Linked DNA regions of Rhinolophus ferrumequinum. The protein of the gene in region 3 interacts with the protein of the main gene of each other region in a pairwise test. Links are inferred from orthologs where the notes say so. Each region holds a gene or a part of one and is shown on either strand. Other genes may lie near its edges.

Region 1 (7,074 bases), on a different chromosome or scaffold from region 3:
CCCTGTGGTTGTACAGAGGTCACAGCCCCACTGGAGGCAGGAGTCCAAGCCTCAGCTTCCTCCAATGAGGGCCACATTTTGACTTTGTGCAAAAGTCAGTGAGCTGATCTTTAGTGAATGGCTATCTACGTGCAGGTATCTTTAGACTTTATAAATATGTAAGTCACTACCTTTGACCTCCGGGTTCTTAGGGGACACACCACAACACATTCCTATCATGTGAACACATTCCTGTCATGTGGAAAGTGGAACTGTTTTCTCAGAATTCAGTGATGGAAAATTTGCAATTTTATTAAAATGTTATCTCCATGAAGAGCTTATTCATTCGTGGATGTAGCCTCAGTCAGTACTTCTTAGCATAGTGTCTGGCACACAGTAGGAACACACACAAAAAACCTCAGTTTAAAAGAGATATCTCCCACAAATGTGAAAATTCCAGTGGTGGGTAATTTTGCATCCCAAGAATTTGTTTGGAGAGCAGTGGGTAAAAGCAGAAGAGGCCAGGAGACAGCGTGAAGAGAGACAAGATGAAAGGCAGAAAGGGGACAGTCGTTACCAGCAGCTCCTGAGGCTTGATGGAGTTGTCGGTGTAAATGCACAATTTCTCTGCAGTCAGAGGGATGGTCTCCTTGAGTTTGGAGGCCAGGAACATGCAGACAGCACCCAGGAGCTGCAGGTGGGTCTTGGGAGTCGGAACCCCAGCCAAGAAGCGGTCCAGGTAATTCATGGCCAAAGGGAAGACCTCCTCCTCACACTTCTGTTCCTCACAGACCTACAATGTGGGAAAGAGTTGGGGGGGGGGGAGGGAGAGAAAATAGTATCAGGAAAAGAGAAAAAAGTGAAAAAGCACAATCTATGGAAATAAAAATATTTAATTTTTATAGGGAGGGGGAGGGGAGTAGAATATGTGGTAAGAATAAAGATGAGGAAATTGGGGTAAATCTAAATAGCTTCTCTGTTTAGTGGTATTTATTCCCCAGGAAACTAAAATAAGAGGTGAATTAAAGATCCAAAACCGAGAGGCAAAGAAATGCGCAGTAGCAGCGCAGCCCCACGCCGCTCCCTTTGCCTACTCATTTTTTCGCTCACTCTAACTCACTCACTCTCTTTTTTGGATTTCGTCATCTTTTCAAAAAATCAATAAAAATATTCTGGAAGCTCCGAGGGTCTCCTTCTTGGCCCCATCCGGACCCCCAGACTCTGCTCTATCATTCCCGACAATTAGAAAAAATGTCCGGGGGGGTCCCTGCGGCCCAGGCGCCGCTATTGGGGGGGTGGGTGGGGAGAGGTGGAGAAGGGAGGGGGAGGGCGCAGAGGAGGAAGAGCGCCGCAGCCGCGGCGGCTGGAGTCGGAGCAAGGGGGGACGGTTTCAAAAAATAATTAAAAATCGAGGAAATATCCTAGAAAAGCCCTTTTGGCGTGAAAACCCCAAGGAGGATCCAGGCTTCCCGAAACGGAGGTTTCGGGTGCCAGAAAGGTCTGTATCTTGACCCCTGGGGCTTTAGATCCCGAGGGGAAACTTGGAGGGGTGAGCGCCGCGGCGGGAGTGTCCGGCTGCGGCCCACAAGGGCAGAAAACTAGGGGACGTGGTGACGAGCTGAGGGAAAGATGAGGACCCGGGAGCCGCCGGAGAGAGGCACGGGGGCTCTGATCTCTCCTTTAGGGGTGCCCCGATATTCCCCCTACACACACCTCCTCCCCCCCTTCCTACCCCACCCAAATCTCCGCACCGAGGAAACTGGAAAGCCAAACTGTAAGTAACCATTGTGAAGTGGGGGTTGGGGGAGAGGGCACTATTAGAAGTGGGGTGGCCGAGATAATGGGGTGCGAAGGGGAGCGGGCGACGTTTTCCAGCCTTTCCAACCAGAGTTTTGCAAAGCAACATGGCGAAACCGCGGCAGGTCCAGAGCTGTGCATACGTGGGCACACGGCTTGCTCTCGGCAAAGATTTGGAGCAAGGGTAAAGAAGTATTTCTTTTGGGTTCTCCTAAAACACACATTTCTTCAATGTGACTTCCGGGGCTCCTGAATTCCCCGTTTCTCTCCTCCTCCCTCCTCCTTCCCCCTCCCCCCTTAGTGCCAACGCGGAGTCGCGACCACATGCGGGAACCTGAGGCTAGGACGAATTTGTTCTGGCTTTTGGGGAGGCTGCCTTTTACTTCTGGGTACCGATTTCACGGTCCTACTCCCTTCTTCACTGCACAGAAAGCAACCCGGGCTTCGCAGAGGGCAGGTCGGGATGGGGGTGGGAAGAAGAGGCAGCCACATGCGGGCACACGCGCTCGGGATGCTCCCCCACCCCCGCCCCAGGACAGCCTCGTTTCTCCCAGATTTTCCTCTTCCCTCCTCTTCCCCTCCCCCAGTTAATCTCGCATCCTGCAAAGAACAGAAAAGCAGCCACGCGTCTCGCCAAAGAGCGCGAGGTAACCTCGCACACGGGAGCCGGGAGGCGGGCGCGGAGGCTGTCCTCCCTCAGTTTTAGGGTCCCTACGTGAGTGGGGGCCGAGAATGCGGGTGGGGACAGACCGAGCGTCAGTCTGCTGACCTACCTCCAGCATCCAGGTAGCCACCATCCTGCGCATGTAGGGCTGGATGTCCTTCTGCACGCATTTGAAGTAGGAGCACTGGGGAAGGTAGCGCTCCTCGATGGTGAGCAAGTTCTGCAAAACGCGGTCGTCGTAGAGCAGGTTGGCGTCCGGCACGGCCCTGCGGACCCGGTCCACCTCGCAGCACAGCAGCTCCATGGCCAGCCGGGTGCCCACTCGGTCCCTGCTCTCTCCGGAATGGAAAAGTTTTTTGGGAGGAAGGAGGAGAGAGAGTTCCCCTTACCTCCTTCCTTTGGCTAATAGGGGTTTTCGGGGGGGGGGGGAAGTTTAGGGCAGAGAGAGGAGCTGGGGGAGAAGAGAGGAAAGGGATGGGCGGTGGGAGAGGAGAGCCTCGGGGGCTGCCGACTCTGCCTGCCCTCCCCTCCAAACTTGTCTCGTTCTCCCCAGCTCCCTCTCCTCTTCTGCTCTCCGAGGCAGTGACGCAAACTGGCTGGGCAGTTCTCCTCCCTCTCGCCCCGCTCCCTTCTCTGGTTCCTCCTCCCCCTTTCCTCCCCTCCTGTGCCTCCCCTCCTTTCAATCTCTCCCTCCCTCCCTCCTTTCCCCTCTTGTTATTAAGGAGAACAGCAGCTGGCCCGACCTAACTTCAAACGCGGTCCCCCGCCCCCCCACCCTTCTCCTTAGCTCTCCGAGGCCCTCTCCCTCCATCCAGCCCCGCATGCCAGGGGCCCCTGATAGGGGAACCCACAAAAAACCCACCGATTCCTACTTATTCCCTCTAATTTCGCACTCTGTAATGTATCGTGCCAAAATACGACCCTCCAACTTTGGCTTCTTCAAAACCCATCCTATCACTCCTGCCCACGTATTGAAGATTCAGGAATGATGGGTAGAATACTTGATGGGGTGGGCTCAGACAATTTAGAAATAGATCCCTTCAGTGAAAAACAAGGAGGGCGATTTTAGAAAATTGCAACCTCGCATACCCAGATATAAAGGTTGTGTTCCTGATATTTATGTTCCTGATCATTTCAAAGCTGTTTCAAAAGCCCAATCAAAGGAACCAGAACAATGTCCCCCCTACACCGCCCCCCCGCTCCGCAGAGTGTGTGGCGAGGAAAGGGAGGGCGATAGGAGGGAGGGGGCGGCTTCTCCGACGTGGTAGAATGTGACCCTGAGCAGAACCGTCCTGTACTTGGGGGCGCTACGGCGCCATTGGGAGACAAGGCGAGGCGCCCTGAGCTGCAGCGGCCGGGGGCAGGGCTGCCAGCGGTTCCTTCGCGGCCAGCGGCCACGCAGGAAAAACCCGCTTCCTCGCCCCTGCATCTGCTGACAAGCCGCCCGAGGTGTCTGCCGCGAGCGTGGCCACTGATACAGCTTTCTAGGAAATAGCCCTGGAGGGGGAGGGGAGGGGGGCGAAGGAGGGATTAGGTTTGGCTCCCCCTCACCCCCCCTGCGCAAACAACACCACTCCTTCCTTTACCCCAAGGCCCCTGAATTCCACCCCCCGGTCCTTCGCCTGCATCCTCGCCGACCCCTCTGGGTTCACGCCTCACTTGCCAGCCAGGCTTTCTCCCCCGGAGCGGGACTGCGGTGGAGACGCTGCCCGCGCAGTTGGCTATGACACGTGCTCAAATGCATCCTCGGGTCAAGGCTGCTTTCACAGGGGATATGGTGGCGTTTCCTTACCTCCTTCCTCCCGCCACCCCCCCACCCTGCCTTTCAGAATTATTTCACTTTGGGAGGAAGGGGAGTGAGCCCAGAACCCCCGCGTGTTGGTGGAGCTGACACGTGCAGTGAGCATGGCGTGGGTCCGGGCTCTGGACACACCGAGGTCCGCAGAGTGCCTCCTTCTCCGAAAAAGGGGGCCCGAGAGCAAGCGGGGCGGGGGAGGCGCGGGCTGAGTGAGCTGCTCACTCTGTTCCCTTGAAAGGAGGGGGGAGGTGGAATAGACAAGGCGGGCAGTGAATAAACCAGAGGTGCTAGCGATTAACTCAGGCCCGGGGGCCAGCCCCTTTAAACGAGGGTGGGGCGGAAGGGGTGGGGGGAGGGGATATCGCTTTAAAAGGGTGAGTAAGAGTTTGGGGCGCCGTCTCCCCTCCCTCTATTTGCATAGCCAATGGCTCTGGGGCTCCTGCTACTGCGCGCTGATTGTTACCGGGCAGATTACTTTTTTTTCTTTTCTTTTTTTTTCTGGTTTTTTTTTTTTGTTGGGTTTTTTTTTTTTTTTTTTTTTTTTTTTTTTTCAGTTGGTAGTGTTCCCCGCTACATCAAAAGGAAGCCTAGGCTGGGCGGAGGGAGAACAGGGACCCGCGGGCGAGGCTGGGGAGCGGCCGGGCGCCTCCGACCTTATCAATAGCCGCGGGAATTAGTGTCCAATCTCCTGTATAGAAAGGGGAGGGAAGGGGCGGGCGAGGAAAATGTCTAATTGCTGTAGAAGCCATTAGCTTTCGGGAAGGAAAAAAGCTCACTGAAAAACCCAAGTTGCAAACTCAAAATGAAACACTCGGCGATGACAAACTCAAAAGTGATGACACTCCAGCTGAGTACGGTGTTCCTCGGAATAGAGTCGGTCCCTGACAATCACCTATTGATTTTACTCAGACTTCCCGACTCAAGCTTTTGAGTCACTGCGGGTAAATACATTGTTACATTTTAAGACCCCCATAAAAGAATCACTCAAACTTCACCTCAGCCACCTTTGAATGGATCAAAGCAAGCTGCTGGGGGGTTAGGGGGGAGAGGTGTTTTTAAAGTATAAATCTACCCCGACAGGCAAGGACAGAGCCGGCGAGGGCTTCCAGCCTCTTGACATCACTTGATAACTAATCGAGCGCGGTCTCCTCTCCACCTCCCTGCAGGGAAAGCATCCCCAGCCCTGGGTCTCCTCGAGGGGAGAGGAGGGCGGGGAAGAGGCGGGTGGTCGTCCTCGGGGCCTCGCCCACCCTGGGAAGAAAGCCTGGGTGGCGAACGCTCAAGTCCCTGGCCCTCTAGCCCCTTCCACTCCTACCCTTACCCCCGTCAGGCTTCGCGGAGAAATTCCGGCGGGTTGGGGGGCAGAGGTGCCGGCGTAGGGGAGGGGAGCGGGCGGATGTCCCTGTCTCAATTTACCCAGATCCGCGAGTTCGGACGCTTCCCGCGTGGCAGGCTGGCCTTTGCAAGTTCCCCCGTTCACTTCCCCTTCCTATTACGGAATGCTCCCGAACATCAACTTCGCCACGAATCGGTCCCCCAGTCGTGTTTCAGTCTCCAACACGCGGGGTGGGGAGCGAAAGGGTGCGGAGGTTGGCAGGAATGTCTCTGGGAGATTTGGACTGGGAACCGAGTTTTCCCTTTCGGTCGCCACTCCGACTGTGTGTTAAATCCTTAATTTTGCTGGGTAAAAAGCACTCCCGGAGCCACGCGGGTAAACGCACGTTGCCTTCTGGGCAAAAGTGCGCGTTTTCTTTGAGAGTAGACTTAGGTATGGAGAAAAACCAAGAAGAGCCTGTGCTCTGGCTTTTAAGTCAAAACTGGTCATTGTTGGGGGGGGGGGGAGAAGGGAGAAAGAAGACTGTTAGTTCTTTCTTATCCCCTTTGCACCCCTCAAGGCAAAAAAAACACCCCACACTATCCTGTCCTTTGTAGGATCAGTGATAAACTTGAGCGAACGCAAGTTTTATTGGACTTTTATTCCCTCCTTTGCCGGCTCCCCACCCCTACTCCCCGCGTTCTGGAGTTTCGGTTGGAAAGTGTACAAAACCCTGTAGGTGCAGGGTGCAGCCGGGTGTTGTGTGTTTATAGGTACATTTCTGCAAGAACCTGCAACGCTAAGCATACATACTCCCAAGCTCACCTGGCGGATGCCGGCCAGCCAGGTGATCGCGCCGTCGGCTCCAAACCTTGGAGCCGCGCGAGTTCGAGCCCGGCTCCCTCCGCGTCCCAGCACTCAGGCCGTGTTGGGGGAGGGGAGTGAGTTTAGGCTCAGGAATGGGGGCCATTGCCCTCCCCCTACATCCTCCAAAGCGTAGAACTATGTATATGTTTCTCCACTGAGGGATGAATGGTCAGACAACCAAAACCGAAAACCCGACAGTTACTTGAAAGTGGATGTCTAAGTGTCCCAGTCTTGGCTGCGAGCTCCCGGAATATCAGAAAGGAACAGAAGGAGGTACAGAAAGAGGAATTGGGGGTCAATAGGAAGGGAATAAGAGCAAACTAGAAAAATGTGCGAAAGGAAAAGGAAAGATCGGCAACTGGAGAACACAGGGAACGGGAGTGGGTAGGAACAAGCCGACAGGAGTCTCCCAGAAGCCTGGGCATTGCGATTCCAGGTGTGAATAAGCTTCCGGGGCCCTCTCGCCGCCGCCCCCCCCGCCCGTCCTGGGGCTCCAGCCGGGGGCACAGGCCGGCCTGGCCTGCGCATTCAGACTGCCCCTGCGGCGCGCTGCAGCTTGCGCCGGGGCTGTGTGCCTGGGGCGGCAGATGCGATAGGCGTGGGTTAGGAAGAACTGCGCCTGCCGTCTGTTCACCCACCTAGCATCTTACGCCC
Region 2 (7,503 bases), on a different chromosome or scaffold from region 3:
AAGTCCACCTGGGCTAGCCAGAAGACCCAGATTCTCCTCATCTACTTCAGTGCAATGCTGAGGCTGGACACTTCCCTCCTCTGGGCCTCAATCTTCTCTGCTGCACAAGGACTTGGACTGACTGGAGTTCTCTGAGGTCCCTTCCAACTCTGACCTTCTAGGAAGCCATCTGCACACTCCACCCCCAGCTCAGGCAAGAGTGGGGGGAAGAGTGCTTTTTGCCTGTTCTGAAAAAACACCACACACACAAAGACACACACACCATCCCAATCTTTTCACAAAAAGGAAGTCCCCTTCTACCTTCCAGCCCAAACCCCTCCAAAAACATCGTGCTTGCTGGCCCTGGAAACCAGTTCCACCTTCAGACTTGCCAAAAACTACCAGATTCATCACAAAGAGCCGTGGGGCCTCCCGGATTCCCATCTCCGGCCTCCTACTCCCATCTCTGAGAGCTACTTGGCAGGAAGAGGAATCCTGTTCCTCAACAAGCAGCAGTCAGGGGCCCCAGTACCCTGGCTTCCTGGCCAGCCAATCACAGCAGCCTGCATGCTGCCCTCCTCCCCGGGAAATGGGGCCCAGACTCCTCTCAGGGTCAGGAGAAGACTTGGCCGCACAGAGCAAGGTTGAGGAAGGTGCCAGCTCCCCCAGCCTCTCCCCCAGACCCCCCGGGAGACGACCCACATGCCCTAAATAACCTAGATCCCAGCAGCGCCCCCACCTCCTCTCCAGGCTTTGGGAAAAGAACCGGTGACTCTCCTGCCGCCTCGGAAGAGCCCAGCCCAAGTTCCCAGCAAGAGGCCCAGGAAGCCACTTCCCAAACCACAGGAGTGACAGCAGCTCTCCACAGGGTTATGAAAGACCTTGGTCAGAGTGGGCGGGCCAGGGGAGGGGGCATCATTATCACATCGGAAGCAGCTGCGGCTCAGCTCCCAGTCCGTCCCTCAGCTCTGGCCTTTGGCTAAGGGGGAAAGGGAGAGATGATTCCACCAGGCCTGAAGCAGCTGCTCAAGTTGCTCAGAATGAGGATTAGGAAGGAGCTGTGTCTTCTGGGATATAAAAGGAAGGAAAGAAGGTGGGATGAAACTCCTTGGCCCTTCCTTAGAGCAATCAGGGCCGGGCTTTAATCGGCTCTGGGAGGCTTTTCAATCACAAAGTCCACATGGGGATAAAGACTCACCCAAGGCAGCCCCCCTCCCCCACTGAAGCACATTCCACTCCCCCACTCCAGTGGGGGAGTGCAGGCATGTCTTTCTGCTGCCAATAAATAACTCATGGTGGTTGTGTAAACCCAGAGGCAAAGTACTAGTGAGTGCAGACATGCAGTTTGACTTGTTGCTATCTGGGGGAAAGACCAGGAAGCAGTGGCACCCCCTGGAGGTCAGGAGAAGGGGAGTTAATTCATACTGGCAGCTTAAGCCTGGGTTGGGGCTACCCTAACCATCACACGCACTGCCCCATGTTTGCCTAATACATAGCCTCTTCGGTCCACGCGCCCTCCCCATGGGGCAGAAAGCCTCTGAGGTCTTAGCTTTCCTTTGCCGGTAAGTGAGGAGAGGTGGTATGTGTTGGGGGTGGGTTATGCACGCACCCGCAGCTGGCGGGGAGAGACAGCATGGTCGGTGTAGATGCACAATTTTTCGATGGTTAGGGGCGTAGTCTCGCGTAGCTTGGAGGCCAGCAGCATGCAGACCGCACCCAGGAGTTGCAACTGTGCCTTGTGGGTGGGGACACAGGACAGGTAGCGATCCAGGTAGTTCATGGCCAGGGGGAAGACTTCCTCCTCACAGCGCTGCTCCTCACACACCTGGGGAGAGGACGCACAGTCACTTCTGGGGCAGGGGCGTGGGAAACGCAGCAGCACTAAAAGTGAAAGGGGGCGCTGAAGGAAGTGGGACGGGAACAAAAATGCATGAAGGAGTAAATGTGCTTACAGTGACAAGGACTAATGCGGAGGGGGATGCGCCTTCCCCAAGGTGACGGCCCCACTTCCTCTGCGTTGCCTCCTTCCCCTTCCCGGGGGAAGGGGTCCGCCAGAGGCTCCCTTACTTAAGGATTCCACACTGAGACTCCCCTCCCCCATGGAAGGGTGCGGAAGAGTCACCCACGGTAGCCAGAGAGCTGGGACCTAACTATTACCACCACCCACTGCACACACCCAAAAGGAAGGGAGGAGACTCCTGCCGCTGCCTCCCGCACTTTTCATTTCCCAGACCGCCGGAACAGCGCGCGCGCCACCCCCACCGCCTTCCCCGCCAGAACCCCGCGACAGACACAGGAACCCGCTCTGCGGCGGCCGAGTCCAGGGTTTCCCAGGCGCGCGCTCTCCTAAGAAGACAGGGCGGGGGGCGGGGGGGAAGCAAGAGACTCTAGAGAAGCCAGAAGGGAGAAGGTGGCCCCTGTCCCGCTTTCCCGACCCGAAAAGAGGGTTAGTTAGGGTGCCAAACCACTGGCAGGCGGAGTCGGGGTTAGGGAAGGGAAAGGGACACCACGTTGGTAGCCGGCTAGGGTGCCCGAGTGAAAGGCCAGGCCCGGGGCTCTGGGCCACCGAAGCATCTTGCTGATTGTTGTTGAGACCAGGATGTCCCAACAGGGCGGCCCCGGGATGTCCGGAGCCGAGGACGCAGGGACGGCGGGGGAGGGGAGACCCGTCCGGGCGGTACCTCCAGCATCCAGTACGCCAGCATCTTCCGCATGTGCGGCTTGATCTCCTTCTGCACGCACTGGAAGTAGGAGGCGCGGGGCACGTAGCGCTCCTCCAAGCGGAGCAGGCTCTGCAGGACACGCTGGTCCCCCAACAGCCGTGGGTCGGGCCCGGCCCGGGGAGCGTGCCGGGTGCCCTCGCAGCATAGCAGCTCCATACTTGGGCAGCGCACGGGCAGGACTGGAGTGCGGGCTCGCGAGCCAGAGCCGAGGCGGCGGGCCGGAGAGCGCGGGTCTGGTGCTGGCGCTGGCACTGCGCAGTGGAGCCCCGACCCGCCCGCGTCGGCGCGCTTGCAGCTTCCCTGACAGGCGCCCCGCCCCTTCGAGACGATGTAGCAACCGCGGAATGCTCGAACGTCACAACGTTCCAAGGGGCGGGGCCGCCGGCGCCCCAGACGGAAAGGGCTGGCTGGCGCCCCCCTCCTCCCTGGCTGCCGCATTGGTCGGCGGGGCGCCCGCCTGAAGGCTTCCGGGCTCCCGGAGCCCTCCTGACCACCCGGTGGAGGGAACTTTCTTGGAGGTGGTCCCCTCCCGCACCATCGAGCCTTCCCATTTTGTTTCTCTGACATTAGTTGCCCAGGAAAGAACTTTTCTCCAAAGGTTATTCATTCATTCGTCAAACCCTACTTCACCAGCTGCTTGCTCTGGGGAATATAAATACTGATAAAATAACTAGTTCTTAGTGAACACTGTTCTGAGCACTTAATGCGCAATAACTTATTAAATCCAAACAAAAACTCAATGAGTTAGGTATTATACTTATTTTGCAGATAAGGAAACTGAAGCACACTAACAGTCTGTGGCAGAGCTAGTCTGGCTCAAGAATCTGTGCTCTACCCCATTGCTACACATTATCACTGTGATCTCAAAGCCAACACCCTCTGCATCGCCTAAGACCCGGTTAGAAATGCAGACTCTCCGGCCCACGCCTGACCTGCGGGATCAAAATCTACATTTCAACAAGACCCCCTGTGACTCCTGTGCACATTAAAGTATGAGAAGGCCTGATCAAAATCAGCACATTACAGAAACACAACAGGGTGGAGAGGCCATAGATTCCAGGCCTCATCTTGTCATTAAGTCTGCCTTGTGGCCTTGGACAAGCCCTGAAGTCGGCCTTAAGCTTCAGTTTGAGGAAAAAGGGGGCGGAGAAACTGGATCCTCTGTGAAGGAGTTTCTTGCTCAGATTCCATAAAATCTTCCAATTGCCATTTCTCCTACCTCCCAAACTTTGGGTTACTTTGTAGTTTCCCCAAAGCTGGATTCCACGTGACCCCGAGGCCGACCACAGGCCTCCAGTAATGCTCCCAAATGGGAGGAGGCCTTGGGAATTCCTGCCTCTCATCAAGAGGTCCTTCTGAGGGAAAGGACACTAAGCAAGGGAGTTACTGAAGAAATAATATTGTATAGCAGAGGCAAGGTCTATGCTAAACAGTTTGTCAATTAATTGTTCTTTTTATATAACAAATTTTATTGTAGTTGTAATATCATGGAAATATTTATTTGTATTGTAGACAACTAAGAAAACACAGATAAAAAAACAGAAACTGACTCAAATACAGAGAACATTTTGATGGCTGCCAGATGGGAGGGGGTTAAGGGATTAAGAAGTACAAATTGATAGTTATAAAAATAGTCATGGAGATGTAAAGTACAGCATAAGAAATATAGTCAACATGTAATAATTATGTATGGTGTCAGATGAGTACCAGATTTATCTGGGTGATCACTTTATAAATTATATAAATATCTAGTTGGTATATTGTACACCTGAAACTAATATAATGTATGTTAACTGTAATTGAAAAAAATTTTAAATTATTTTAAAAAATAAAAGCCACAAAAAGAAAAATAATAATTACTTGCAATTTCACCATCCAGAGATAATCCTTTAAAATGTCAATATTTATTTTTCTAAAATTGTTCTATGAATAAACACATATTTTAAAATGAGATCATCATAAACTGTTTTTGTAAGCATTTTTCTCACTAAAACAGTATTTACTGTAACACTTTTCCATGTCATTTTTCTACATTATTTTTAATGGCAACATAGGATGCCATTGGGTGAATATATCATATACATATTACCAAATATGTGTTGTTGGAAATTTAAGTTATTTCTAGTTCTTCCCTATTAGAAACAATACTGTGAAATATTTTTGTGGTAATATTTTTGTATGCACTCATGATTATTTCTAGAAGTGAATTATTTCTACAAGTGGAATTTCTCAGTCTGGAGTTATGAAACATACTAAGGCTTCTTTTAGATTTTTAAAATTTATTTTTCAGTTGTAGTTGGCATGCAGTGTTATATTAGTTTCAGGTGTACAACATAGTGATTATAGACATTTATAGTTACAAAGTGATCACCCTGATAAGTCTAGTACCCATCCGGCACCATACATAGTGATTACAATACTATTGACTATATTCCTTATGCTGTATTTTACATCCATGTGACTATTTTTATAACTGACAATTTGTACTTCTTAATCTCTTTTACCTTTTTAACCCATCCCTCCAACCCTGCTCCCATCTGGCCACCATCAATTTGTTCTCTGTATCTGTGAGTTTCATTCTAAGGCTTTTGATGTAGTTATTACTAAATTTTGCTATTGAAAGACTAAACCAATCTAATGAATAAACATTAGATATCTATTTTTAAAAACCCTCTGCCAACTGGGAAGATGAAAAGTAGTTTATTAGTTATAATATACCAGGGATGCCAAAAATATGTATACATATGACTTGCATTAATCTTTTGTTATCAGTATATATTATTACAATTTTAATACAGTTTTTTTCCTTTCTTAAAATGTGTATACATTTTTTTTGGCACCCTCTGTGTGTGTATGTGTGTGTGTATCTTTTTTAATTCAAGAGCTCTTATTGTGCCAGAATTAATGTGTACCATGTACCTCATTTAATCTTAAAGTCCTTTTCTCCTTCCTATGGTCCGAAATATGAATATGAAGTTTCTTTAGTTAAATAATCATACCATTGCACTCTTTCAATAAATAGAAAAACATATTTCAAAATGTTAAAGAACAGATGTGAAGTTATGGGGAGACAAAGATGTTGAAGTTTAAGAGGTTTTTAGGGTGCAGAGGACTAAAAATGTAGCTTTTGAAATGAGTACATAACCAGAAACCAGATCTTTCCTAATGGAAGGTGTTCCTTTATTTTCAGAATTATTGAGTAGGACTGTTCAGGTTAGAAGGTTGTTTATCTTTGATGAGAGGGTAAACCATCATTATATATTTTTATTTTTTCCCCAGTTTTATTGAGGTGTAATTGACATACACATAAACTGAATTAGCTCAGGATGCACAACATAATGACTTAATATATATACATATTGCAAAATAATTACAATAAGTTCAGTTAATATCTATTACATAATTACATTTTTTTGTTGTGATGAGAATTTTTAAGATCTACTCTTTTAGCAACTTTCAAATATGCAATACAGAACCATTAACTATCGTCACCATGTTGTACATTACATTCCCAGACCTTATTTATCTTATAACTTATTTATGTTATAACTTATTTATCTTATAAAGATTGTATCTTTTAACCACCTTCACCTATTTCACCCTCCCCTTACCCCCCACCTCTGACAACCACCAAAATGTTCTGTTTCTCTCAGTAAGGATTTTTAGATTCCACATATAAGTGAGATCATACAGTATCTGTCTTCCTCTGTCTGAATTATTTCATTTAGTATAATGCCCTCAAGTTTCATCCATGTTGTTGCAAATGTAAAAATGTCCTTTTTTATGGCCGAATAATATTCCATTGTATAGATATACCTACTTTTCTTTATGGAGAAAGCAAACTGGAGAGATGAAAAGTAGTTTACTAGTAATGATATTTTGACACATTATTAGACATTTACATTTCTTATGTAAATTAATTACCTATTTCATACTCTTTGCCCATTCTTTTACACAAATGTTTGTTTTTCTTATTGATTTCTAAGTGCTCGATTACATTTTAAGAATATCCTTTTTCATATTTTTTCTTTGTCATATATTTTATACATTTTTTTTTTTTAGTTCACTATTTGCCTTTCTTTTTTGTTTTTAAACTTTTATTTATTTAAGTGTGTTTTTCCAGGACCCATCAGCACCAAGTCACGTAGTTGTTTCAATCTAGTTGTGGAGGGCGCAGCTCACAGTGGCCCATGTGGGGATTGAACCGGCAACCTTGTTGTTAAGAGCACCGTGCTCTAACCATCTGAGCTAACCAACTGCCCCACTATTTGCCTTTCATTTTTGGTTCATGGTAGAATTATTTTTTTAACAAATAGAAAGTTTTTATTTTTATGTAGCATTATTTTCTCTAATGATTTCTTCCTTTGAACCATGCCTTCCCCACTGTAAAATTATACAATTACTAGAAGAAAATGTAAGAAATACTTATATTTTAAAAGCAGATTTCTGGGCTCTGCTTCAGGGCTTTTCTTTCTTCAAGTCTATGAGGAGACCCCCAAAATTATGCATTGTCAAGAATACATACAATAAAGGTTTTCCTTTTTAATGCGTTGCCTTCAGTGTGTGACACACTTCACATTTATTCAGTGTGTCATATTAAGTGGGGCTCTAGCCTTATTTTTCCCCAATTATCATCCACTATATCCCATGGAACTGATTTAACAATCTGTTCTTTATTTCACTCATTTCCCTGCTATAAGCATCCCTTGGCCTGGTTCTTGCATCTTAGATGATGTCTTATTTTGGTCATTTTTCACTGAGAACTGGACCTCAAAAATCCTGCCACTTTTGTCTAAGGAAC
Region 3 (7,313 bases):
ATAGTATTTAATTTACCTCAGAGTTTAGTATTTGCTCTTTTTAAAGAAAAATCATTTAGTTGAAATTTTCGGGGATAGGAAGTGGAGAAAATTATCTAAACACGTTTTTTTTCAGATGAGATTTGAGAATTTGTCTTTCCGGCAAATTTAGAAATTCATCCAAACATATTTTCTTTTAGACAAAAATTTTTTCAATAACTAATACCTGCAACACAAGAGAAAATATAACAAATCCACACAAAGTAGCAGGATGACCTATTTGTTGTTTTTTTTGTTTGTTTTTTTCCCATGTAAGCAAATTGGAACACCGTTCTCAACTTTTCAGATGTTATTCTAGTGATGTCACATTATTCTGTTCTGTGTCTGCTTGACTCAGTAACACTCATGGAGAGAAACAGGACCCTCTGCTGCCTTTACTGACCACCTACTATGGCCACATGGCATACATAGCATTGTCACAGGGAGCAAGGCACTGTGGACGCCCTTGGGGGAGCTCAGGGTGGTGGGTAGCAGAGCATCAAGCTTTTAGGAAGGCTAAAGAGAGCAGATGACTTCAAGGAGTTAGAGCAAAGAGGAATGCCTTTCTGCTGAGGGAATCGAGGTTTTAGGAGGAGCTCGGCCTTGAAATGATAGGATTTAGAAGGCTGAAGGGAAAGGGAACTGCAGGTAGAGAAGACACGTTTCTGCGGTACTGAAATCAGCACACTGATCCTAAACCTTTGCTGGGATTATATTAAACATTACTTTAACATGACCCCTTCAAGGAAATTGAAAGAAGTAGTCCCAAAGAAGACGGACAATAAGGTACAAAGCCAATTTTCCCATTGACAAACAGTTATTGGACATAAAATACTTGACAGCTGCTGTGCTAGATACTGGATATAAGAAGTTATGAGTAACTTGGAACAAGTTTATAGTAGGGTTTAAAAATTGGACCCTCTCTTCAATTTATGGTAAAATGTTTGATCCACGGAGCTATTCTATTATCTACTTTCTTCTAGGCATTTAAAGAATTCTGCAATATATACCATATTTCCCCGAAAATAAGGCTTAGACGAACCATCAGCTCTAATGCATCTTTTGGAGCAAAAATTAATATAAGACCCGGTCTTATTTTACTATTATATAAGACCAGGTCTTGTATGACAACATAACATAACATAACATAACATAACATAACATAACATACATAACATAACATAATACCGGGTCTTATATTAATTTTCGCTCCAAAAGAGAGCATTACAGCTGATGGTCCGGCTAGGACTTATTTTCGGGGAAACACAGTAGATGATGTATTACAGAGTTGTACACCTGATATCTATGTAACTTTACTAACAATTGTCACCCCAATAAAATTTAATTTAAAAAAAAGAATTCTGCAAAGAATTCCATTATGTGTATTTTCAGGGAAAATCCATTATGAGACAACATAAAATAGTTACATGTATATGGATGCATACATTATACAATCGCATTCAGTAAGATAGATTTCATTTCATAATAGGATAGACATAGAATGCTGTTCATTCTGAAAGATTCAAGTTGCCTAGATACGCCATACGTAGAGCACTGGGGAACATCTCTTGGCCCGAGACATTAACATGTGCTTTCTTCACTTTTACCTGCTGCCAGGCCATTAATAGAAGTTTGTCCCAGGTGCCTTTCTTTGTACTTCCTCCCACCCTCCCAGATCCCACTTTATCATCATTCATGCCCACTGTGTTGTACCTCTACTACTTCATCTGAATGATCTATCTAAAACATGTACATATGTTTTAAGGTCAACCAAAGGCAACTATGGCAACACAATTGTTAGGCCATGTGTGCAGCTGAGATGCAAGTATTTATTATCTTAGAAAAGAAATGTTAGAAGTCAGTAAAAAAAATTACAGGACATTCTAAATGTAGAGGAAATGTAGATATTTCCATGTGATTATCACTAACTTTTATAAGTGTATTTCCATAGTTATTCTTCTGATTACTCAGAATTCTAATATAGATAATGAAAGGATCTTAAGAACACATTTCAAACATGTCACAATAGCCAAGAACATATTCACACACATGTACACACACACAAAGGAAAAAAGAAGATGTAAGTGTCTGTCAAAAGGCAAAAAAATAGGAAAGATGATGACAATTATACAAATATGAACATAGTACTGACATGTAGCCCAGGGATAATTATAGAGCTGTAGAATCCATAAAAACGGAATGTTCCAAAAGATAATAATGTCTGTTTTTTTTCCCTTAAATTTTATAAGCTACTACCCCATATATTTTTTTCCCTCACAGCAAGAATCAAAATCTTTTCAAGTTTCACTGCTCAAATGCAATGCACTAGATCACATGCAAAAACAAAACCAAAAAAGCCCAGGTCATTTCCAAATTGATGCCAAGTAATTTATTTAGAAGATTGAACTTAAAAAGTCATTTCAAGTTCATAATTTTACAGTTGCAAAAGTTGGTAATACAATTGATTTTTCCTAGAATATTAGCAAATTTTCAATGTTACATTTTAAGGGAAAACCCAAGAAAACACCTTGGAAATGCCTGGGGAAAAAAAAGAATGCATTAAAATGCACTGAATTATAAATTGCTATTTCTGTTAAAATTATAGTTTTTCGTGGTAATTACTTAACAAAGTATATTTACATAGACATAAAAATCAAGTTTAAAACAAGGGTAACTGATTTCACAGTTATTAAACCAGAAAAGGTTTTTTATCAAAACAACAAACAGGAGAGATTTATAGACAAAAAGTATACATTTACATGGACCTCCAATTAAAACTATTATGTAGTAGATTAAGCAAAATCTCACTTCTGAATTTCTGGGAAATGTATTTTATAAATTCAAATAGCTAATATAAGTCAGAGATCACTTAGAATTAGATGTACATTAATTATATAATTACTAATTTTAAATAAATTACTCATTTCTTAAATGAGGTTATAAATTATAGACCATAATTAAAGAGATTTTTTTATTTTAGTGAAAACAAAAATTTACAGATATATGATATAAAATATTCACACATGGAATATATCTTTTCTGTGACACTTAAGAAAACTTTCAGTGTAAGCTACAACATCATATTTGGAGATAAATCCATGAGTTCTAATTTTTAAAAACCTGTAAGATGATTTGCAACTTTAGAATATCTGATGTGTGGTGTGAAAATACTGGTGCAAATCATTATTTATTCTTAAATGCTATGTTTTCATTCATCGAAGATTCCTAAACAAAAGAGTCGGAATTTGGTTCACAGTTTATAAACTTTGCACAGATTTTGTTATGATAACCTGTTATCCACAGAGGAAGTTGTCCATAAACAAAAACAATCTGGTATTTGCTAATTTTATAAAATCCATTGTAAAACTTCCTGGTCTGAAGATTTAAGCAACCAGGTATCAATGTGAACCATAACCAGGGAGAGTGAACAATGATAAATTAACAATATCAAAGAAAGCAGATGATATAAAGAGAGTTAACACTCAGTATTAACATATGTAATGAAAGTTTCATTGTTTTTTACATTGCCTAAGTGATCTAGTAACCTAAATTATGGAATTTCTAATTCACCTATGGTTGTTGTCAAATTAAGTAATTAAAAATGCAATGCAGTATAGAAAAGACATTTTTCTGTTAATTTTAAAGATATTTACAGCTTAATATTTTTTAAACAAATTATGTACTCAAATAAATTTTTACAATCATTTACTGGGTCCTCTGACTATTGATTGACAATTATTTCTGAATTACATAAATGTGTTGATTACCAGCAAATAAATCTTGTTTTAAGATTTTAAAAGCATTGATAAGTGTAATTATTAAAATGGAGGATTGTCATTTGTGTCTTGGGTTTAAAGTCTAATTCATGATTTGTAGTGATCCAATATTTTATATAAATACAAAATCCAACAATTTGCTTTCTTAAGTCTAGAAGATATATGAGATCATAGATATCTTTACAAGTACAAATTTTGTTCTGAAATTGGATTTTATTTTAGAAGACATGCCCCTAAACACAAAATGTATTTTATGAATTATATTAAGCACACAGAAACACAATTCTTCACTTTCATTATTTAAGAAAAAATTATTAGAATACATTGCAAAATATTTGCTAATGGAAATGCAACAATTTTTAGTTACTTAACCTGCCACTTCACACTGTAGTATAGAAATCAATTTTATAAAGGCAAAATTTTGATCTAGTGTGAAATTAGCAACATGGTTTAGTTCAAAAAGTCAAAAGATTTATAGAGGTAATATTTCCAATTTAAACAGAATTTTGCTGGGTTTTAATTTTTCCACAGAGCACTGAAATAATTTTTTTTAGCTTGGGTTTAAGATGTTAAAATGGTTTCAAGTATTCTACAGATACAGATTTTTGGACAAAACTGAATTCTTTCCAAAAAACAGTTAATTTTAAGTTTTGTTTTACCCTATGGTAAAAACTCTTGGAAACTTTTTTTTCCTTCCAAAATCTCATTTTCACCTGAAATAATTGTATTCAGGTTTTCTCAGCAGGTAAAGTATAAATTCTTACAAGGTTTCAAATTTCAGAATTCCAATAATGCATTTAAACTGAGCACCCACCGAATCACTTTCTCTTCTCTTTGTGTGTGTCTATTATCTTGCTGTTCTGTTATTTACACTGAATTTTAGTCTTTTTAGCTCCCCAAACCCTCAGCAGTTGCTAACCACTTAATAATTGTGAACCCGCCAGCCCCTTCAAGTAGATCGTTAACCACAAGAGTGCCTGACAATTTCCAAATCATATCCTCTGTCCAAAAGGAAAAGATAGGGCTTTGTGAGGCCGAAAGGAAGCGAAGGAAAACAAAACAAATGTAGCTCATGTAGAAAGTGAAAAGTGCTTGGACAGATTAGTATTTTCTGCAAGGCGTCCTGCCAAACTTTTTTTTTTTAATAGAGAAAAGTTATTTTTCGGTCTGATTTCTCAGTTTCTTGGAAAGTGTGGGTATTTACCATCCCCACCGGCCTCTCATAATTATTGTTGGTTGTTTTGTGTTTTTCCCATCCGTCCACATCACAGACTGCTGATACCCCCGCCTCACTCTGTCAAAACCCCAACTGTGGGCGACCCTGGGTTTGGAAACTCTGCCGACTCCCGACGTCTCATCCCACTCTCCCTCTCACGCCTCTTGTTTTAGTCGCAAGAACCCCCACTCCAATCGCAGTGAAAGCCGGAAATTTTCATTTAACTCCCCCACCTCCGACTCGCCCCCCAGTTGGAGCCGAGAGCTGGGGAGCTGGGAGGCTCAGAGCACAGCCGGGTCTCGGCCGCCTCCCCTGTCTCCGGAAGGCTTTAATTTGCACACTTGCTTGCTACTGCACCGCGAGTCCCCAACCCCGCCGCAGGGTGGGTCTCGAGCAGAGTAGGTCTCCCGGGCCTCCGCCCCCGCCCCTTGCTGCCTCCCCGGCTCTGCCCCGAGCCTCGGCCAGAGCCCCGCGGCCGTACTGTCTCCCAGCGAACCGTGCGGGCGGCGCCCTCCGCGGTCCCTCCGCCCTCCGCCGCTGTGCCCACCCCCTTGCGGGAGAGAGAGCTGGTGACTCCTTCCTCCAACCGGGTTACCTTCTCCGCGCCGCGCTGGACACGTGCGGACATCAGACTGACACTTGCAGCCCCCTCCGGAGGCTGGACGAGGCCAGGCCCCTCAGGTGAGGAGCTGTGCACTCGGGTGGGTGGGCTGCGGGGTGGGGGGTCCCCGGGGAGATTGGGGGGCTTGGCTAGGGTCGGAAGCGAGGGTGTAGGTGTGGGTAGACTATTGTGGGGTATGTCCTCGGAATCCGCGTAGGTTAACCCCTTACGAACCGAGGCGGGGCAGTTACGGGGGCCAGTGTGGGGGAGCTAAAGGAGTTTTTCCTAATCTGGCAAGAGGACATACCACACTAGGGACACCCCCAACACAGAGATCCTGAGCCTGCTCCCTCACAACCTGCGCACAACCACCTACTTAAGCAAGCACTCCTTATCCAGTTTCTTCAAACAGAATTTAAACTCCACTCGGACACTCACACAGTGATCCACATTTAGGGTTGAAAATGGGGGGACTTAGTGCGGGAGATCGTGTTTCCGTGCCCCATCTTGATTTCCCCACGAGAGCTCCCTCTCCAGCTCGCTGAGATGTGGGTGTGGGTGTGGGCTCCACCTTCCCACCACGAGATACGAGATAAGTGTTAACGCAGGCTCCTTGCTGGCAACCCCTGCGGGCATGTTATGCACACTTAGAAGAGTGCACGCAGGCTGCCAGTGCCCAGGTTTGGAGCCCGGTAAGGACTCACGTTTGCTTTAGTTTCCCAGTTTACTTTTATAATTTAAAATATCGGAGTTAAAACACACCCCGCAGTGAGCAGCTCCCGCCCCACAGCGCGCCGGCCAGTGTGCACGTGGGCGCATCTGCGTGTGCGCACACGCGGGAGCCCTGGTCGCCGGTGCGGCCTCTTGTCGCTGCGCTGGTGGCGACCCTTGCGGTGCTTGGCAGGCTTCGGGAGAGGCACATGAAGCATTTCATTGAGTGTGAAGACAGAGAGCAGAGACAGAAAGCAGAAGGAGGCGGCTGTAGTCTTTGTAGTCGCAGAGGAATGCGGAAATGTTGAAGCACTATGTCAAACTTTTTTGAAATGGGGTCAAGTCACATTCAGCCAGCGTGGGAAAGCAACAACAACAACAACAAAAAAAAGTGAAGGGTGGGGGGAAGGCACTGCTGCTCCCGTTTCTCTCCGCCGGAGCCGAAGGTCGCGGGAGCGAGGGGGGAGAGCCTGGGCGGGCTGTGCGGGGCCGGGCGGGGGCAGCGGGCGCAGTTCCCTGCGGGGGTGGGACGTCGGCGACGTTTCCTTCGCTGCAGAGCCTGGGGCTGGAGGGGAGGAGGGGCGCGGGTACGCCGACGGGGCTGCGCTACTGGCGGTGGCTCCTCCGCTACCTGTGTGGCCCTCGGCCTGGCTCAGACCCCCCGGGCAGGCTCTGGGGGCTCGTTCTTCGGCCCCCGCCTGGATTCACCTTCACCTTTTAAGGAGAGTTTTGAATGGATTGAGTGTGAGGGTGTCTGTCCTCGCTGTGGTCCCTTCCGCCCTCACACCGTGAGGGTCGCGCCATTTGTTTCTTTAATTCCTGGAAGAAGGCGAGCGGGCCAGCGGTTATGGGGCAGGTAATTCCGAAGTGCCCCGGGAATTCCGGACACGCGGCCGGCGTGGCTAACGTCCCGCCGAGGCCGCGGGGCGGCCGTGGGTTGGCGGATTCCTGGGTCCTAGATTGCAAATGAATGGGGAGGGAAGGTGACCCC
Region 4 (7,685 bases), on a different chromosome or scaffold from region 3:
GCTTTTAAAGTCTTAAATTATTTCCTTTGCCCTCCCCCATCACCATAATCTGGGTCTAAAAATATTAGACAGTCATATATGCTTTAGAGGAGAAAACAAGAAACAACTGAATTTAAAATAAGCTTTACTTTATTTAGCTGTCGTAGTAAATCCCCTGTGGAAAGCTTTTGCTTTTCAGTTATATATGAGTATGTCTGTGTTCATAAATAGAATACAGTCTGACAATTTGACCCAAAATTGGGGATAAAGGGAAAAATAGTCGTTTTATAAGATGATGAAAGCAAATTATTTGTTTTTAATAACTGGTTCACCATTTAAAGTATTTAAGTAAATGTTATAGAGAAGTGCTAAAGTTTAGAGGGTGAAAATGTAACGTAAAATAAACACTATATTTACATTGCATAGGATTTTATAATGTGCTAGGATTTTATAATGTTAAATAGTAAATATTTTGCTATATAAAAAAAGCTTGGGCTGGCCCCGTGGCTCAGACGGTTGGAGCTCCGTACTCCTAACTCCGAAGGCTGCCGGTTCGATTCCCACATGGACCAGTGGGCTCTCAACCACAAGGTTGCTGGTTCAACTCCTCAAGTCCCACAAAGGATGGTGGGCGCTGCCCCCTGCAACTAAGATTGAACACAGCACCTTGAGCTGGGCTGCCTCCCAGATGGCCCAGTTGGTTGGAGTGTGTCCTCTCAACCACAAGGTTGCCAGTTTGATTCCTCGACTCCTGCAAGGGATGGTGGGCTGTGCCCCCTGCAACTAGCAACGGCAACTGGACCTGGAGCTGAGCTGCGCCCTCCAAAACTAAGACTGAAATGACAACAACTTGAAGCTGAACGGCACTCTCCACAATTAAGATCGAAAGGACAACTTGACTTGGAAAAAAAAGAGCTTATGTGTTAGCAATTGAATCAGAACAATGCATAACTTAGAAAAAGGATGTTTTGAGTAGTAATCCTATAAGCATCCATTTGTATGCATGTACATTATACAAGCATTTACTTTCTTATTTTAACAATAAAACAATTTTTGATAACTAAATGTCCAAAATGGAGTTATCTGTTCTTGTGACTTTGTGTTTTAAAATGTACCATGCTTGAAACTAATACAAAATAATACTGAATGTCAACTGTAATTGAAAAATAAAAATACAATGTACCATGCGATTGAAAGATAACATATATATGTACATATATATATATGTGTGTGTATATATATGTGTATATATATATATATATATATATATAGCTTCAAGAACATTAGAAACATCCATTTCTCCCTTTAAAACCATATGTTCTCATTTCTACTAGTGATATAAAGGCTATTTCCCATGTAGAGAAGAGGGAAAAAAGTGGTTCTTAATATCTCAGGAAATGTTAAGTTAAAACTATAAATAAAACCTCTCTTTACATTATTAATATAATTTTAAGCCTTTAAGAACTACTTTACCATATTGTCATCGCTTTAAACTATCCCTTATTTCTAACACTTTTCTAAGAATTCAAAAGGAATAACACATTTTTTTCCTTTAAAATCTACACTATTAACAAGGTTCCTTAATAAAAGCTTGGTTCTGGAAGGTGATGTGAGGTGAATACTATTATAATATATACTATATAAATATGACCATAATAGTCAACAGTATAGCACAAAAACATTACTTTAGATTTTAAAAGACTTAAAAATATATCAGTGCTAATTAAAACGGTATTAATCGTTAAACATATTGAATAAACACATTTTAACAGTGAAGAAGCTAATTATTTATGAAGACTCTTCTATTTAAAAGGGACCTGACAGTTGCTGCGGGAATGCTGTTGTAATCCAAGTATTCAGTATGATAATTAAACAGTACAAATCCATAGAAGCATTTTTCTTATGTAACACTCAAGAGACACTGCTAACGTAAAAGGAATTAAGTACTGTGGTTGCAGAATCCTGTTTTGGGTCCTTTGTATTTAGTTGGCCTCCATAAAGAAAGAATACAAAGAATTTCACATCCCAGCTTAAAAGTTCACGGTGCATTTTTTCCCCCTGTGCTATGATTTTTGCATGCTTCCTTAAATCCAATCCAGCATGTGTAACCTGTAATTTATCTCTATCGCTGAAAGACATACAAAGCAGTTCTCCCCCAAATAAACGTTCCCTTTGCCCTTCCCTCCCTAATTGAATCTATACCTTTCATCTCTGATCATGAGAAGGGAGAAAAAAATATTGATATTTTTTCCAGGATTAAAAAGAATACCAAACTGAAGCAGTGGGTTTTTCATTCCCTTTCTTGAGAGACACAGTGGAGACCTAGGTCCCTGACGCGTCCCACGGAGGCCACCCTCCCTCATTCGTGCGCCCCCTGCCGGCCAGGCCCCGGGGCCCCAGCTACCTGGATCGGGCGCCTCCCGAAGCAGTTGACTCTGTTGGGATCCGCACCGGCTTCCAGGAGCTGCCGCACGATTTCCACTTGCCCCCGCGCCGCGGCGCTGGCCAGGCCCGCATCACCGTCGCCACCACCGACCAGGCCCTTGTCCTCCTCCCGCATTTCGCAGCCCCCAGACGCCAACTGGCCGGGATGATCCACCGCTGGCCTTGAGCTTCGCGACACTGCTCCCTCCCTCCCCTCTTCTCCGGGGCGCCTTTCTCCCCCGCAGGAGAGCTCAGCTCAGCGTCAGTCCCCTTTCGCGGTCCTTCTGTGCCTCGCGGGCGCGTGAGATGGCCAAGCGACCGGTCGTAAAGCCGGGTTTTTCCCGGCGCCCGCGAATCAGCGGATGCTCGCGGCTCGTTCCCAGGAAAGGCGGCTGGTGCGGCCGCGGCTGAGCGCAAAGCCGCTCCGGCCTCAGAGTGCGGGCGCGTTGGAGCGTCCTGCCTCCCTGCGGAGCTTCGCTCTGGCCAAGAGAAGAGCCGGCCAGGAATGAAACGGTTTCCAGCTGGGCGGCCGGGCTGGCCTCTCCCCACCCCCTTAGGCTCCGCCCGCTGTCCCGCCAGCCGGCTCGCTCGCGTCCCACTGTGCGGGCTGGGAGGCCGGACCCGCCGATGACGCTCCAGATGACGAACGTAGGGGCGGGGGGAGCCAGCTCAGACCACGCTGGGACGCATGCGCCAGACTCCGGGAGGGCAGAGGCCACTGCGCCGCTCTCCCGGTGTCCAGCGAAGCCTTGGCTAAGTTTTTGGAAACGTTGAATCAGTGTATTCAGCCCCTCCTTCCAGCAGGCGGAGTAGAGGATTTTCATTCCTTCAGCCTCCGGCTCTCTGGTTTCACGCTGGAAACGTTAGTCGCTCCCTGTGGAATCAAATGGCTGAGAGAAAGACGTTTAAAATAACTCTTTCTTAAGATGTCTGAAAGTGACAGCTCTGCACCTGTCATGCAGGTTAAATTCATCCCCAGGCAATACTTGAACTTCATAGCTTCACATCTGGCATCAACCTTAGCAATTTTCTTTTGAGTGTGTCTTCCTATTTGAGTCAGCCAAAAATCAGTTTCAGTGAAAAATTCTGAGAATCCTGTCTTGCATTTGGTTTTTATTCTTTTCGTTTTTGAGTTGTGGATACAATCATAAAAAAAAAAAAAAAAAGAACTACTCTGAGATTGACAATGGCAACCTGGTACATGTAAGATACTTAAAATACATATTTTAAGAATCTGAGATTCCAGTTTCATGATATTTGGACAGTTCATTTTTGTTTGCACTCTTACCTATTTAAACCCACCTCAGCAAGTATTTGATTTTTATTCGTCATGCGTAATAAAGGAAATTTATACAGTAATAATGAAACGTAATAAAACAGGGGTGTGGTGCTGGGCCTATCATTAAACAGGCTGAACCTGTCATTAAATCTTCTTCTGAAGATTTAAAGGACAAGTGCTTTTCTTTTCTTCCTAATCTTCCAAGGTGAGTTTGAATTAACATATGCATTGCTTTAAAGATTTAAAAAATTATAGCTGATGCTTGATTGAAATAGGAAGAAAACCACAAGTTATGTATCTGTTGCCTAAAAACATTGGTGAGGAACTACATGAAAGTGGGTCTTTCCTAACACTGAACAGTTCTTATTTACAACATCATTTTTCGGTTCAGAATGCCAAGGAGCAAGACAATCTTAAAGGGAGGGCAATTGCTTGCTGATTCACAAATGAGAGACTCCATCTGTTTTTTCTAGCATGGCTTAGCTAGGACTCAAACCACTGTAGAATGAGGAAGAGCTCTTCAAAGACTGGGGGAGGGACATGAAGCGGTGGTTAGAGCTCAAGATATATTGAATGATCCTCAGCAGAGTGGAAATCTACTTGGGTGGGGAAGAGAAGGTGGGAGCATTAATAACATTTTTTTCTCTCTCACCCCACCCCAATTTCTTAGTTTTCAGTTTCTTAATTGTTCTACCTTTCACACTTATTTGAGCCTCTACTTTTACCTGGAAAAACAAATTGTCCTTTTGTTTGTTGATGGTGGCTCCTTTCTTTGATCTGGTTGGAGAAATAGAAGTTTACTTTTGAGTGAAAAGCATCAATGGGCTGTTTTTGTCTAGTTCTTGGGACTCGTCCCCACGCAGTGTATCGGGGATTATAGGTATGTAGGTAGGGTGGGAGAAAGAAGAGGAAAGATGGACAGCAGGAAGGCAGAGTCTTTGAAATGGATGGTATTTTTTCTTTGGTAGTCACTCTCAGGGGCTGAGTCATCAGACTGATACAGGTGGAAGAGATGGCAAATGAGCTCAGTCCAGAATATCTTTATGAGAACAGCCTGACTACTCTGAAATTTAGTGCACAGCCAAATGTAACAAGGCAGATTGCCTTTTAAAGGAGGGTCGTTGGGACCTTCCTTCTAATGGATCCAGTAATTAATTTAGTTCATCATGTCCTATATTCCAGGAATCTACAGTTGAATAAGATATAGGTCCTAGCTTTTAAGAAACTCTCCCTAATGGCACTCAAAACTAGGAAATAAAAAAATTTCAATTTAATGTGACAACTTTACTGAGAGATGTGTCTACAGGGTACTTGGGGAGTAAGGAAGGGGGAACTTAACTCTCGATGGAGGTGCAAGGAAAGTTTCTTAGAGGAATTGCCAGCTGAAGAGAGTTTCTAAAGAATGCATTGTAAATTAACTGTTTCCTGTGTTCTCACCTTGGATTTCTCTGAAACTCAACAAAAAAGTTAGGAAAAGATAGCCTGAGCCAATGTTTGAGCCACCTTCTTTAGTGGTAGGCATGGCTAAAGTGTCTGAAAAAAACAAAACAAAAAACACAAACTATTTGGATTTGATAAGGAGATGGAAGATAATTGTTTTTTGTTGAAGGAGACGTAGATAAAGAGTGGTAAGATAGGGAAAAAGCCAATGGGCAGAGTGACCGAGACTCTTCCACAACACAGATATATGAGATTCGCAAAACCAGTTGGCTGGAAAAGAATTTTGGGCGGGGGAAGTGTTGTCAGGGGTACGCGCGATGACTAGCACCACGGACAGCGCTTCCCTGCTAAACGCATCTGGGTGGTCCTAATCCATTCCAGATTGAGAATTCCTGAGGAAGCATCAGACTTGATCTTCCAAAGCCTCTTCTCCCCTGAAATTCAAAGGAAAACACATAGAAGCTCAACGGACTTCTTTACAAAACCATCCTGCTCAACCTGGCTTCCCAATATTATTGGATGATCTAATATTCTCAACGTAAAGAATATTAACTATCCTCTATATTTAAAAGAAGAGAAATTACACTTATTGTCTACTCTGTTGCAAGTGCTTTATGAGTGTTATTTCATTTAACCCTCATAAAACCCCTATGCAACATGCATTAGTACCTCAATTTTACTGACTAAAGGATCATTAGTTACTAACTTGCATAGTAACTAATCATTGTTGGAGGTAGGGTCTAACCTGTGTAGCTTTGGAGCATCTAGCCTTTACACTACATAGTATTTTTAGCAGCTGTCATGGTAAGCTTAACTGGAAAAAAAGTGCAATAAACTGGCTTATAATTATTTTCCAGTCTACACTGTGTTTTCCAGATGGCTCACCTCACAGCACACCCTTAATAGACTTCAAAGATGACATTTCACATGTAATACAATAGCACATTTGTCTTGGACAATAGAGTAAGATAATGAAACATTTTACCTCTCCCTGAAACCCAGCTGTCTCTAGGATGAAACGCAACCTGTTGTTAATGCTTTAAACACATTTAAGAGATGGAATGGATGAGAACATAGTGGGGAGCTGAAACTTGGAATTGTCACAGCAATGCTTTTTAATAGGGTAGACAATTTATAAGCAAGAAGAGAGAGAAAGTAAACAGTAAATTGGCATAGCATTTTGGATGTAAATAAAAGGGAATGAGTAGAGTCAGTTCCAATATTACAAATAATGCAGATCCCTAGTGATAATGTTTATATTTTAGTTGGTGAAACTATATATGAACTCACTATAAAAATGTGAATAGAATCAGTCAAATGACCAAAAGAAGTACTGACATAACTTGTATATGTTTGGATTCAAGACAGTGTTTCTAAGTGGGGAGAGAAGAAAATTCAGAATCGCTTTTGAAGGTTTTTCAAACTGTATGTGACCCATCTCCCACCAGGAGGCTTGACTCTCTCTATTTCATCAGTTGAGGTTTATTGCTCCAGGATCCACAATGTATCTCCTTCCATTTGTGTTTCTTAAGATTAATATAATGGTGGACATAGTCATCATTTCAGTATCTGTATTGGATTCTTAAGACTGTAATGACAAAATACCACAAATTGGGTGGCTTAACAACTAAAATTTATTTTCTTACAGTTTTGGTTTCTCCTGAGGCCTTTCTCCTTGGCTTTCACATGGTCACTCTCCAGCTGCTTCTTTACATGGTCATCCTGTGTGCGCTCAAACCCCTGGTATCTCTTTGGTGTGTCCAAATTTTCTTTTATAAAGACACTAGTCAGTGTTAGGGCCCACCCCAACAGCCTTATTTTAAGTTAATCACCTCTTTAAATGCCATACTTCAAATATAGTCACATTCTGAGATACTGAGGTTTAAAGATTTAACATATGAATTTTTTGGGGGGAGTACACAGTTCATTCCATAACAGTCTCCTCTAATTTTCACCCATATCACTTTTCATTTATTTTAAACTGTTATTAATAATTTATTTATTTGAATAAAGCCAAACATAAGATCAACACATTGAAATTGGTTGAAATTGATACCAGTCTCTTCTATCTCTTTTCATCTATAGGTTTCCCTCTATTTTTCCTTCCCCCCACCTTTTCTTTCAATTTATTTATTGCAGGAATTGAATTGCTAGTTCTGTAGTTTTCTGAAGTCTGGACTTTGCAGAATGCTTCTGCATGATGACATTTAATATTTTTCTTGGTCACCAGTATTTCTTGTAATTTATTATTTAGATGTAGAGTCTCGATGTGATTCAGGTTTTATATTTTGGCAAAAATACTTCATAGGTAGCATTATAAATGTTCACCAAAGAGGCATGTAACCTGGTTGTCTCTCTTTCTATGATTCTAGAAGCCATTGATATGTGAGAGGATGAGTTACCAGAAACCATTTTCTCAAAGTAGAGATAGTTGATGGGAGCTTCATTGCCTGAAGATTATGCTGAAAAGATCAACAACTTGAGAGTTTTGCTTTATCTTAATGTTTTTGAAGATTGTAGTTAACATAAATATTTAAATAAATACATATTTAATTTGCTTTTT

The links.
Region 1: the proteins of CDK6 (region 3) and CCND2 interact in a two-hybrid assay, tested with the Homo sapiens proteins (2 studies listed by BioGRID, with this or other methods). The link is inferred for Rhinolophus ferrumequinum from reciprocal best matches to the Homo sapiens genes CDK6 and CCND2.
Region 2: the proteins of CDK6 (region 3) and CCND3 interact in binary tests that used the Homo sapiens proteins (3 or more experiments, as listed by UniProt). The link is inferred for Rhinolophus ferrumequinum from reciprocal best matches to the Homo sapiens genes CDK6 and CCND3.
Region 4: the proteins of CDK6 (region 3) and CDKN2B interact in binary tests that used the Homo sapiens proteins (3 or more experiments, as listed by UniProt). The link is inferred for Rhinolophus ferrumequinum from reciprocal best matches to the Homo sapiens genes CDK6 and CDKN2B.

Annotation. Positions count from the first base shown.
Region 1 is NC_046293.1:86,595,877-86,602,950, forward strand, and holds the start of CCND2 (G1/S-specific cyclin-D2), read right to left. Parts: upstream 3,018-7,074; 5' UTR 2,745-3,017; coding exon 2,550-2,744; intron 773-2,549; coding exon 557-772; intron 1-556. UniProt on the Homo sapiens protein: Regulatory component of the cyclin D2-CDK4 (DC) complex that phosphorylates and inhibits members of the retinoblastoma (RB) protein family including RB1 and regulates the cell-cycle during G(1)/S transition.
Region 2 is NC_046286.1:11,637,985-11,645,487, forward strand, and holds the start of CCND3 (G1/S-specific cyclin-D3), read right to left. Parts: upstream 3,014-7,503; 5' UTR 2,859-3,013; coding exon 2,661-2,858; intron 1,805-2,660; coding exon 1,589-1,804; intron 1-1,588. UniProt on the Homo sapiens protein: Regulatory component of the cyclin D3-CDK4 (DC) complex that phosphorylates and inhibits members of the retinoblastoma (RB) protein family including RB1 and regulates the cell-cycle during G(1)/S transition.
Region 3 is NC_046303.1:33,410,697-33,418,009, forward strand, and holds the start of CDK6 (cyclin-dependent kinase 6), read left to right. Parts: upstream 1-4,309; 5' UTR 4,310-5,691; intron 5,692-6,238; exon of another isoform or gene 6,239-6,303; intron 6,304-6,372; exon of another isoform or gene 6,373-6,768; intron 6,769-7,028; exon of another isoform or gene 7,029-7,178; intron 7,179-7,313. UniProt on the Homo sapiens protein: Serine/threonine-protein kinase involved in the control of the cell cycle and differentiation; promotes G1/S transition. Phosphorylates pRB/RB1 and NPM1.
Region 4 is NC_046295.1:18,101,835-18,109,519, reverse strand, and holds the start of CDKN2B (cyclin-dependent kinase 4 inhibitor B), read right to left. Parts: upstream 3,008-7,685; 5' UTR 2,540-3,007; coding exon 2,384-2,539; intron 1-2,383. UniProt on the Homo sapiens protein: Interacts strongly with CDK4 and CDK6. Potent inhibitor. Potential effector of TGF-beta induced cell cycle arrest.